Rattus norvegicus: one gene and its partner. Each later gene encodes a partner of the first gene's protein in a complex. Links are inferred from orthologs where the notes say so. Each region holds a gene or a part of one and is shown on either strand. Other genes may lie near its edges.

Region 1 (4,262 bases):
GAAACTGTATAACCTTTTTTTTTTTTTTTTTTTAAATCTCACTGTCCTTTTTTAAGAAGCCAGAGTGGGGCTGGGCATTGAAAGCTCCCAGCTCACATCTGTAGTCCCAGTAGTTGGGAGGCTGAGGCAGGAGTTTGTAGCCTAGAGTTGGTTCAGTTTTTTTTTTTTTTTTTTTTTTTCCGGAGCTGGGGACCGAACCCAGAGCCTTGCGCTTGCTAGGCAAGCACTCTACCGCTGAGCTAAATCCCCAACGAGTTGGTTCAGTTTATGGCAATCTTTTTATTTTTTTAAAGATTTATTTATTTTATTTATATGTTAGTACATTGTAGTTCTCTTCAGACACTTCAGAAGAGAGCATCCCATTACAGATGGTTGTGAGCCACCATGTGGTTGCTGGGAATTGAACTTAGGACCTCTGGAAGAGCAGTCAGTGCTCTTAACCGCTGAACCATCTCTCCAGCCCCCAGTTTATGGCAATCTTACTCCTTTAGTTGCTGAGTTCTGGGATTACAGTATGTCCAGTGCCATTCACGTCTGACCTAGTGTTTCTAACATAGTAAGGGTCATTAATGCACCCCCAAATCTGACTTTTGTGTTAGCTAAACAGAACATGTTTGCAGGACAGTCTTGGCACACAAACCGCCAACCAGCAGTCTCTAAGGCTGATAAACAGTATTTATAGGTTGATTTCATTGACTCACACGATAAACATACCAGGGGTTTTCACTGCAGGTTGGGTGACACAGGTTTTGAAATTTGCCTAGTTCTTGTCTCCATTTTACACATTAAAAAAGATGAAATTTGAGCCACCAAATAACTTAACCATGATCACAGGTTGGCAAATGAGTGGGATTTGAGTTAAGTTTGTTTCCATAACCCAACGTTATGACTCAGAGAATGCAGAGGCTGTGGTCAAGGTTGAATGCATCTATTTATCCTGAAGGAAAGGTCAGCAAAGAAACAGAGGGGGACAAGTCAGTCGGAGAAAATCATCCAAGGATCGAACCCAGAGGTTTAAAAAAAAAAAAAAAACAAGAGAAGGTTTTCAGATGAAGGGTCAGCTCTTGTTCACGCTGTGTAGAGCGCTTGCCTGACATTCATAAACCCTAATTTTAATCTCTAGAAAACTCTCCAAAGACAAAAAAAAGGAAGATAGGAAGGAAGAAAGAAAAGAAAGAGGAAGAAGTAAAGTAAGAGAAGGAAAGGAAGGGAGAGGGAAGTGCCTGAACGGCAGCACAGTTATTAAAACGGCGACAGATGACTACAAGTTCCAGAGAGCGACGCGCCTATTTTCCCGCCAGCGCCTCGGCCGGCCTTGTGAGAACTTCAAATCCCGGCATGCCCCGGGGCGCACCGGTCCTCGCCCCTCGTCGGTCCCGCCCCCTTTCCCCACAGCCCCCGCCCGCCGGGTTGGCCTCGGAGAGTTTGTCCGGTGGCCGTGGTAAACGGAGGTGCAGTAAGAACCCCGGCGGCAGCACGATGGGCGACTCCAAAGTGAAAGTGGCGGTACGGGTCCGGCCAATGAACCGACGAGGTGAGAACTTGTCCCGGGCCGGGGGCGACAGGTGCCTGTAGTGGTAGAGCCTTGGCGTCCCGGGGGTCTCGGCGGGCTCCCCTCAGCGCGCGTGCGCCCTCGACGGCGCGGTCGGGCCCTCAGCCCTCCGCCCCGCCAGCTGTCACCGAGCTCGGCAGGCCTGGGGCAGCTCCGGCCTCACAGCCTCCTGTACACGCAGCTCTTAGGGCGGACAGCCCTACTTTTCGATTTTCCACGTTCCATTCCTTGAACCTGCACCTTGTTGCTGTTTGCAGAAAAGGAAGGACGTGCCTTCCTAATTCTTTCTGGTTTATGATTATCGAGAGCTAGCTTTCTTTCTTTCTTTTTTTCTTTTTCTTGAAGTGATAGTCATCTCAACAATAAATAGTCTCGGTGCCAAGATTCTTGGGAAATTGTATCTTTCAGACATGCTCTGAAGTCTGTAGGGAGGGTAGAGAAAGTAGATAAACTCAGGACACGTAAATCATCTCTCCAAGTTGGAAGGACTGAAGCCCAACTTGTGTCCGGAGAGTAGCTGGTTTTTGCCTTTGCAGCTTCACCAGAGGGTGACTGTGTAGGATACTTAAAATGAGGTGATGTGTTTGAAAACACTTTATATACAAGTCTTGTTATTGAGGTGCTGCTGGGCTCCCAGGGGATGGAATTGCAGTTAGTTGATTTAGACTACTGACTAGCTAGAATTGTTTTCTAGGGTTTCTAGTTTGTTTTACTGTGTTTAAAGTCAAGTGTGTAGGAAATAGTTTTTCTGTTTCCCTGCCCTTTGGCGTATATATGGAGGTAAACAGGTGGGACAGTTGACAAAAGATTTTTCTGGTTGGTTGTTCTGTGGGAAAGCTGGTTTCTCTGTTTTCTTGGCGTTGGTTTGCCTACCTGAACGTGCTTAAGTCTATGAGGCATGTTTTTCCCTGAAGACTTAACTTTTTAAGCTCTCAGCTAATTGCCTCCTTGCATCCAGGTTATCACAAAACAGAGTGAGTATCTTAGAAGTCCGAAAGTTTTCAACTCTTCCATTTTCGAGTGTCCAGACATCTTTATTTTGGATCACTTCAAGCTCATTGTGATCATTACTGCGATTAAAAAACAAAAGAGAACAGCCAAGTGAAATCCGACTTATCTGGGACTGATTCGGAAAGGATGGGTTCAGCACATTCTTAAAATTTCCTTTTTGCAAAATACTTGGAAATGTCAGTGCTGAAGGAGGCCTCTAGCCAGCCACCACAGCAGGGCTTGGCACAGATAGTTAGAGCCCAACTCTTCCTTGTTTTCTCTCACTGGGAGGAAGCTACTGCCTTTAATTTGCTATGCTTGTAATTCTTAACAGTGGCTGTTACTATGCTCAGAGTTTCGAGACATTCATTGAATGATTTTAGCTATAGAGTACATGTTAGCTGTTCCTTACATTGAACATTGTCTTCCTTCTTCTCTCCTTCTCTCCTTCCTTTTTTTTTTTTTTGAGACTGGGTCTCCCTACATAGCCCTGGCTGCCCTGGAACTCAGCATGTAGACCAGGCTGGCCTCAAATTCACAGAAATCCACCTGCCTCTGCCCAGATCTTTAGTGCTGGTATTAAAGGCATTCACCACAATGCCTGGCACTTCTTTCTTTCTAAAACAGTGCTAAGGATTGGAACACTGGTCCTCACCTGCATTTTATCCACCGAACCATCTGAGTTCAGCCAGCCAGCCAGGCATCTCCCCAGTCCTGTTTTTCCCCACTTATTTATTTTGAGGTAGTGTCCTCGTGTAGACCAGGGTGGCCTGGAACTTGCAGTCATCTTCCTGCCTCAGCCTCCTGAGTGCATTGCGGGGATGCACCAACCACTGCTGACTGAACTCACTTTAAAATGAATGTTTACAGTTTGGTTCCACTGTTCAGTGACAACTGCCCCCTAGTCTCTTTGCTTCCTCTATCTTGTGTCTCTAGTGTTCATCACAGATCATTTCTTCATCTACAGGTTATTACGAAATTTAATAGCGAGGAACCTTAAAGCTTGTTATTTCTAAGTTGGCATCTTGAATTCCCATGAAAAGGCAGTAACAAAATTGAGCTGCTTTTTGCTGAGTTTGAAAAGAACCCTATTTAAACATTACCTCTTCCGAGGAAAGTGGTATTGTGATAGCATGTGGCTGTCAAGTAGTTGGGTCTAGTTCTGGGTGCTCCTGACTTAGTGTGTGTGTGAGGATTGACATGGTCACTGGGTTGTACTTCCCATCATAGACTCTGTTGTTTGAATGATGTTTGTGTCTTTTGAGGAGTCTGAAGGTTTCCAGAACTCTTCAGTGTAGGGTTCAGTTCTTTGTGTGACTTAGTGGCTGGTTGTGTTTAAGGGGCTTCAGCATTTCTGCTCAACTGTCTGCGGCGGTGGGAACTTAATTGAATATCAAGGGGTAGTTCCTAATTTAATGATAGCTAGAGTTGTAGTGGCTAATTTGTCAAGATAAAGAGAGGGAGGGAGGGAGAAAAGAGAGAGAGAGAGTGAGAGAGAGAGAGAGAGAGAGAGAGTGTGTGTGTGTGTGTGTCTGTGTGTGTGTGTGTCTGTGTGTGTGTGTGTCTGTGTGTCTGTGTCTGTCGGTCTGTAATCTTAGAACTTGGTGGAGGCAGGCAGAAGGATCTCAGTTTGAGGTGAGTCTGGGCTGCGTACATAGTAAAATTTGCTTTTTTTTAGCTAACCAACTAACCTTCCTTCTTCCTGGCCTCTGTTTTTCAC
Region 2 (3,802 bases), on another chromosome or scaffold:
TAGTCTCCCCTCTCTCTTGCCCTCCCTGAGTTGTGGGACAGACCTGAAGCCTCCTGTGGCTGATCCCCTTCATGCTGTTTGCAATGGCTCACGCTTACCCCAGCATCAACCCTTACAAACCCTTGGCTCTGAGAATGCAGCTTTCTCCCTACGGGTGACCCAGGGCACTAGGAACTTAGCCTTGAGCCTATCCATTGTTCCCACCTACCCTACCAAGCCCCAGGTTCCTCCCACCGCTCTCCCATCCCAGTTCAGATTGGGTTCTGGGCTAGGATGTTGGTTGAGTCGGTAAGACATGTACTTTGCAAATGTGAGGTATAGAACATATACCCCAGAGCCTGGTGTGGGGGCATGAGTTTGTAATCGCAGCACTGGGGAGGGGGAGACAGGAGGATCCCCTGGGACTTGATACCCAGCCAACTTAGTTTAACCACTTAAATCCAGGCCAGTGGGAAACCTCGTGTCTAAAAAAAAAAAAAATGAAAATTAAAAAAAGTAGAACTAGGCAGATGGCTCGGAAGGTAAGGCGCTGTCTGCAAAAGCATTTAGAACTGAATCTGAATCCCTGGAACCCATGTAAAGCCAGCTGCAGTAGAAACAGACATCTGTAGTCCCAGTGCAAGGGCCTCCCACTGCATGCAGTGTAATCCCACTGGCATGCGCAGTGGTGAGAGACAAAGAGACCCCCATCTCAAATGGGATAGAAGGTGAGGACCGATACCCAAGGTTGTCCCCTGACACCCACATGCAGCAAGTGGCATGTGTGTGCCTGCACTTACACACGCTGTACACATACACACACACAAGGCTGTGAGACCTGGGACTTGACACTCTCCACAGTATTCTAGAACCTGTACCCGGGTGGGATCCCACTTCCTCCTGCCCCAGGGCCTTTGCACACTCCCTGTGCTCTCCGGAACATTATCTTCCCCATCACGTGCCCCCTAGTGGTTTCTATCCCACTGATGTCTGTGCCCTCCCCCAGAGTGCTCAAGGGTGAAGCATGTCACCCTTGTGGCCCACCACAGCTGTTCTTGGAGAGCAGAAGGCATGCTGGGATCCCCACTGTGGAAGAGCTTAGTGTCTTAGAAACAGGAGGTCTCTCATGTCCTCCTAAAAAACACGAAGCTGGGTGTTGGGGATTTAGCTCAGTGGTAGAGCACTTGCCTAGCAAGCGCAAGGCCCTGGGTTCGGTCCCCAGCTCCGAAAAAAAGAAAAAAGAAAAAAAAAAAACAAAACACGAAGTTGGAGGCCTGGGGTGAAATGATTCCTCTCACACCCTGAGCCAGATCTTTCTGGAAACAGCTAACATCGCTTGAGACACCCTCTTCCCCGTTAGACAGCTTCTTCCTGTGTATCCCTGGCTGGCCACTAGGGTGCCCTATAAACTCATAGAGATCTGCCTGCCTCTGCTTCCCCAGCCCTGAAGAGCTAGAATCAAAAACAAGTGCCACTATGTCCCGCCCATGCTTGAGAGATGTTTATTAAAAACCCAAATTCAGGGGACTGGGGAGATGGTTCAGCGGTTAAGAGCACTGACTGCTCTTCCAGAGGTCCTGAGTTCAATTCCCAGCAACCACATGGTGGCTCACAACCATCTGTAATGAGATCTGATGCCCTCTTCTGGTTTGTCTGAAGACAGCTACAGTGTGCTCATAAAAAAAAAAAAAAAATCCAAATCCACAAGACACAGAGAACAGCCATGGGCTGAAAGCTAGCTAGTAGATGAGCTGGCATGAGTGGGTAGGAGCCCTGGGAGAGCAACATGCCAGCTGCACATGAGATGAAATGTATATGTGCCCAACTGGGCCCGTCTAGGTCCCTCGGGGCCTGCAGGTGGCTTCTCTATAATCCCCAGGGCAAGCAGGCTGAGAGCCTGGGTTCCACTAAGAGAACCTTCCTCAACGAGTTAAGTGGTGAGTGATTCAGAAAGACCCCCAGCATGAAGCTTGGGCCACCACCACACAAATGCATGCACGACTGCAAATCCGTGTACCCACACACATGAAAAAAACAAAACAAACACACACACACACACACACACACACACACACACACACACACACACACACACATGTGCCACAAAGGCATGCCAAAAAACTCCAAAGGAATGAAAAAGAAGCGCAAAGGAAGATAAATGAGTTAGAGAAATCTCAGCATAACATCTGCAGGCCAAAGCTTCCAGAAAGAAGAGAGGGAAGAAGTCATTAAGGAAAATAGCCACGGGCCTTGTGGACGGGAGTCACTAGATGAGAAAGCAGAGGTCCAAGCTGGGAAAAGTGCAGTGAGCAAGAGGTCAAATTCCAGGGGGGGGGGGGAGAGGAGGGTAGGAGAAAAAGAGGGGGAGGGAGAAAGGGAGAGAGGAAGAGAGGGAGAGAGAGGGAGAGAGAGAGAGAGAGAGAGAGAGGGAGAGGGAGGGAGAGAGAGAGAGAGAGAGAGAGAGAGAGAGAGAGAGAGAGAGAGAGACGTGTGGGGGGAGTCTCAGACCATTCACCTCCCAGGCACGTCTTCTCAGAAAGCTACTGCAGGGTGTGTTACACAGCAGAAAGCAGCGTAGACTGGATTAAGGCAGGGAAGGAAGAGGTGAGGCCCAAAACAGCCCATCCATGTCCCTAGATGTCCAGACAGTCCTGGAGCTGGGGTGGACACTGGCCCTACAGGCAAACATGTCTGTTTATCCTGAGACCGTGTACTGGATAGAGAGGCTTGGATCCCACTAGTGTCTTATGTAGTCACAGGACACAGACCCTGAACACAACGTGAGTCAAGACATCCTGAGGGCACAGGGGAACAGGAGTGTGGGAGACCATTAAACTTCCCATCAAATGGTGCCCAAACCAGACATGTGGCAACTTCCCAAGGGATCAGCCCAAACTCCAGCTTCCCTGGCCTTTTAGCAACACACACGCCAACACACACACACACACACACACACACACACACACACACACACACACACACTGAAAGTATATAGGCTCTAGTGTTTGCCTGGGCTATCCTTCTGCCCATACAGAGATAGCTGCAGCACAGAGGACTGAATTAGTGCCCCTCCATGGGGTGGACTGCCTCGCCCTCCCCACCAACAGTGGTGCCTACCAAGACCCCCAGGATCCTAGCTACTGTTCACCGTTCCCAGCCCAGCCCAGGTCACCTTGCCATCCTCATGGTAGATAAAGATGTTGCGAGTGCTGTTGTCCTTCAAGTAGGTGACCTGCAGGCCATGGGGGTGGCCGATCTTGGCTGGCTGGAAGGTGGCATTCAGGTGCTCAATCTTCATGACAGCCTTAGGCTCCTTAGCCTGTGAAGGAAGGCTAGTGGGAATCCCGGACAGCACCAGGCTCCAAACAAGGAGGCTAGCAGTACACCTGCTGTGCGAGCTGTGCAGCCTCAGGCAAGTTACTTAACCTTTCTAACCACCCCAGATTCCTGGTCCGTAGTTGAAAGGTAAATTTCTACTTCCTTGGGTGATGGAGACTAAACGACACTTGGTATCTGGGTAAAAACTTCCCCTGATCTGCAACCCTTCGTGTTCTTAGTCCTGTCCTGACGCAATTCTTGCTTGCCTGTGCGTCTGGAGCTTGTGATCCAGGACTGCTCACCAAGACCCCCCGCAATCCTAGCTACGGTTTACTGTTGCCAGACCAGTCCGTCAAGGTCACCTGCAGGCAAGGCAGGTCTCTCAGTGGTCCTGGCCAGCTCCAGGGAACTGGGTGACTAGCGCCATCCCTGTCCCTCAGCCAGATATTAAATCAGAGCAAGTCTCCGGGCATGTCTTTTATCGTCCCCCTCCCCAAAAGATGGC

Evidence for each region. The genes of interacting proteins can lie anywhere in the genome.
Region 2: the proteins of Kif13b (region 1) and Adap1 are in contact, whole or in part, in a crystal structure (PDB 3MDB), measured with the Homo sapiens proteins. The link is inferred for Rattus norvegicus from reciprocal best matches to the Homo sapiens genes KIF13B and ADAP1. Residues at the interface, in NP_056069.2 of Homo sapiens: Val451, Asn452, Leu453, Asn454, Ala455, Asp456, Pro457, Leu463, Arg512, Phe514, Asn516, Gly517, Arg531, Leu533, Asn536, Asn537, Phe539; in NP_006860.2 of Homo sapiens: Trp137, Asn143, Gly144, Gln145, Phe146, Leu147, Pro186, Ala187, Lys188, Ile189, Gly190, His191, Pro192, His193, Tyr211, Glu213.

What each region holds. Positions count from the first base shown.
Region 1 is NC_086033.1:43,082,641-43,086,902, forward strand, and holds the start of Kif13b (kinesin-like protein KIF13B), read left to right. Parts: upstream 1-1,418; 5' UTR 1,419-1,479; coding exon 1,480-1,534; intron 1,535-4,262. UniProt on the Homo sapiens protein: Involved in reorganization of the cortical cytoskeleton. Regulates axon formation by promoting the formation of extra axons. May be functionally important for the intracellular trafficking of MAGUKs and associated protein complexes.
Region 2 is NC_086030.1:20,482,814-20,486,615, reverse strand, and holds part of Adap1 (arf-GAP with dual PH domain-containing protein 1), read right to left. Parts: intron 3,299-3,802; coding exon 3,152-3,298; intron 1-3,151. UniProt on the Homo sapiens protein: GTPase-activating protein for the ADP ribosylation factor family. Binds phosphatidylinositol 3,4,5-trisphosphate (PtdInsP3) and inositol 1,3,4,5-tetrakisphosphate (InsP4). Regulates the incorporation of CD63 and CD9 into multivesicular bodies.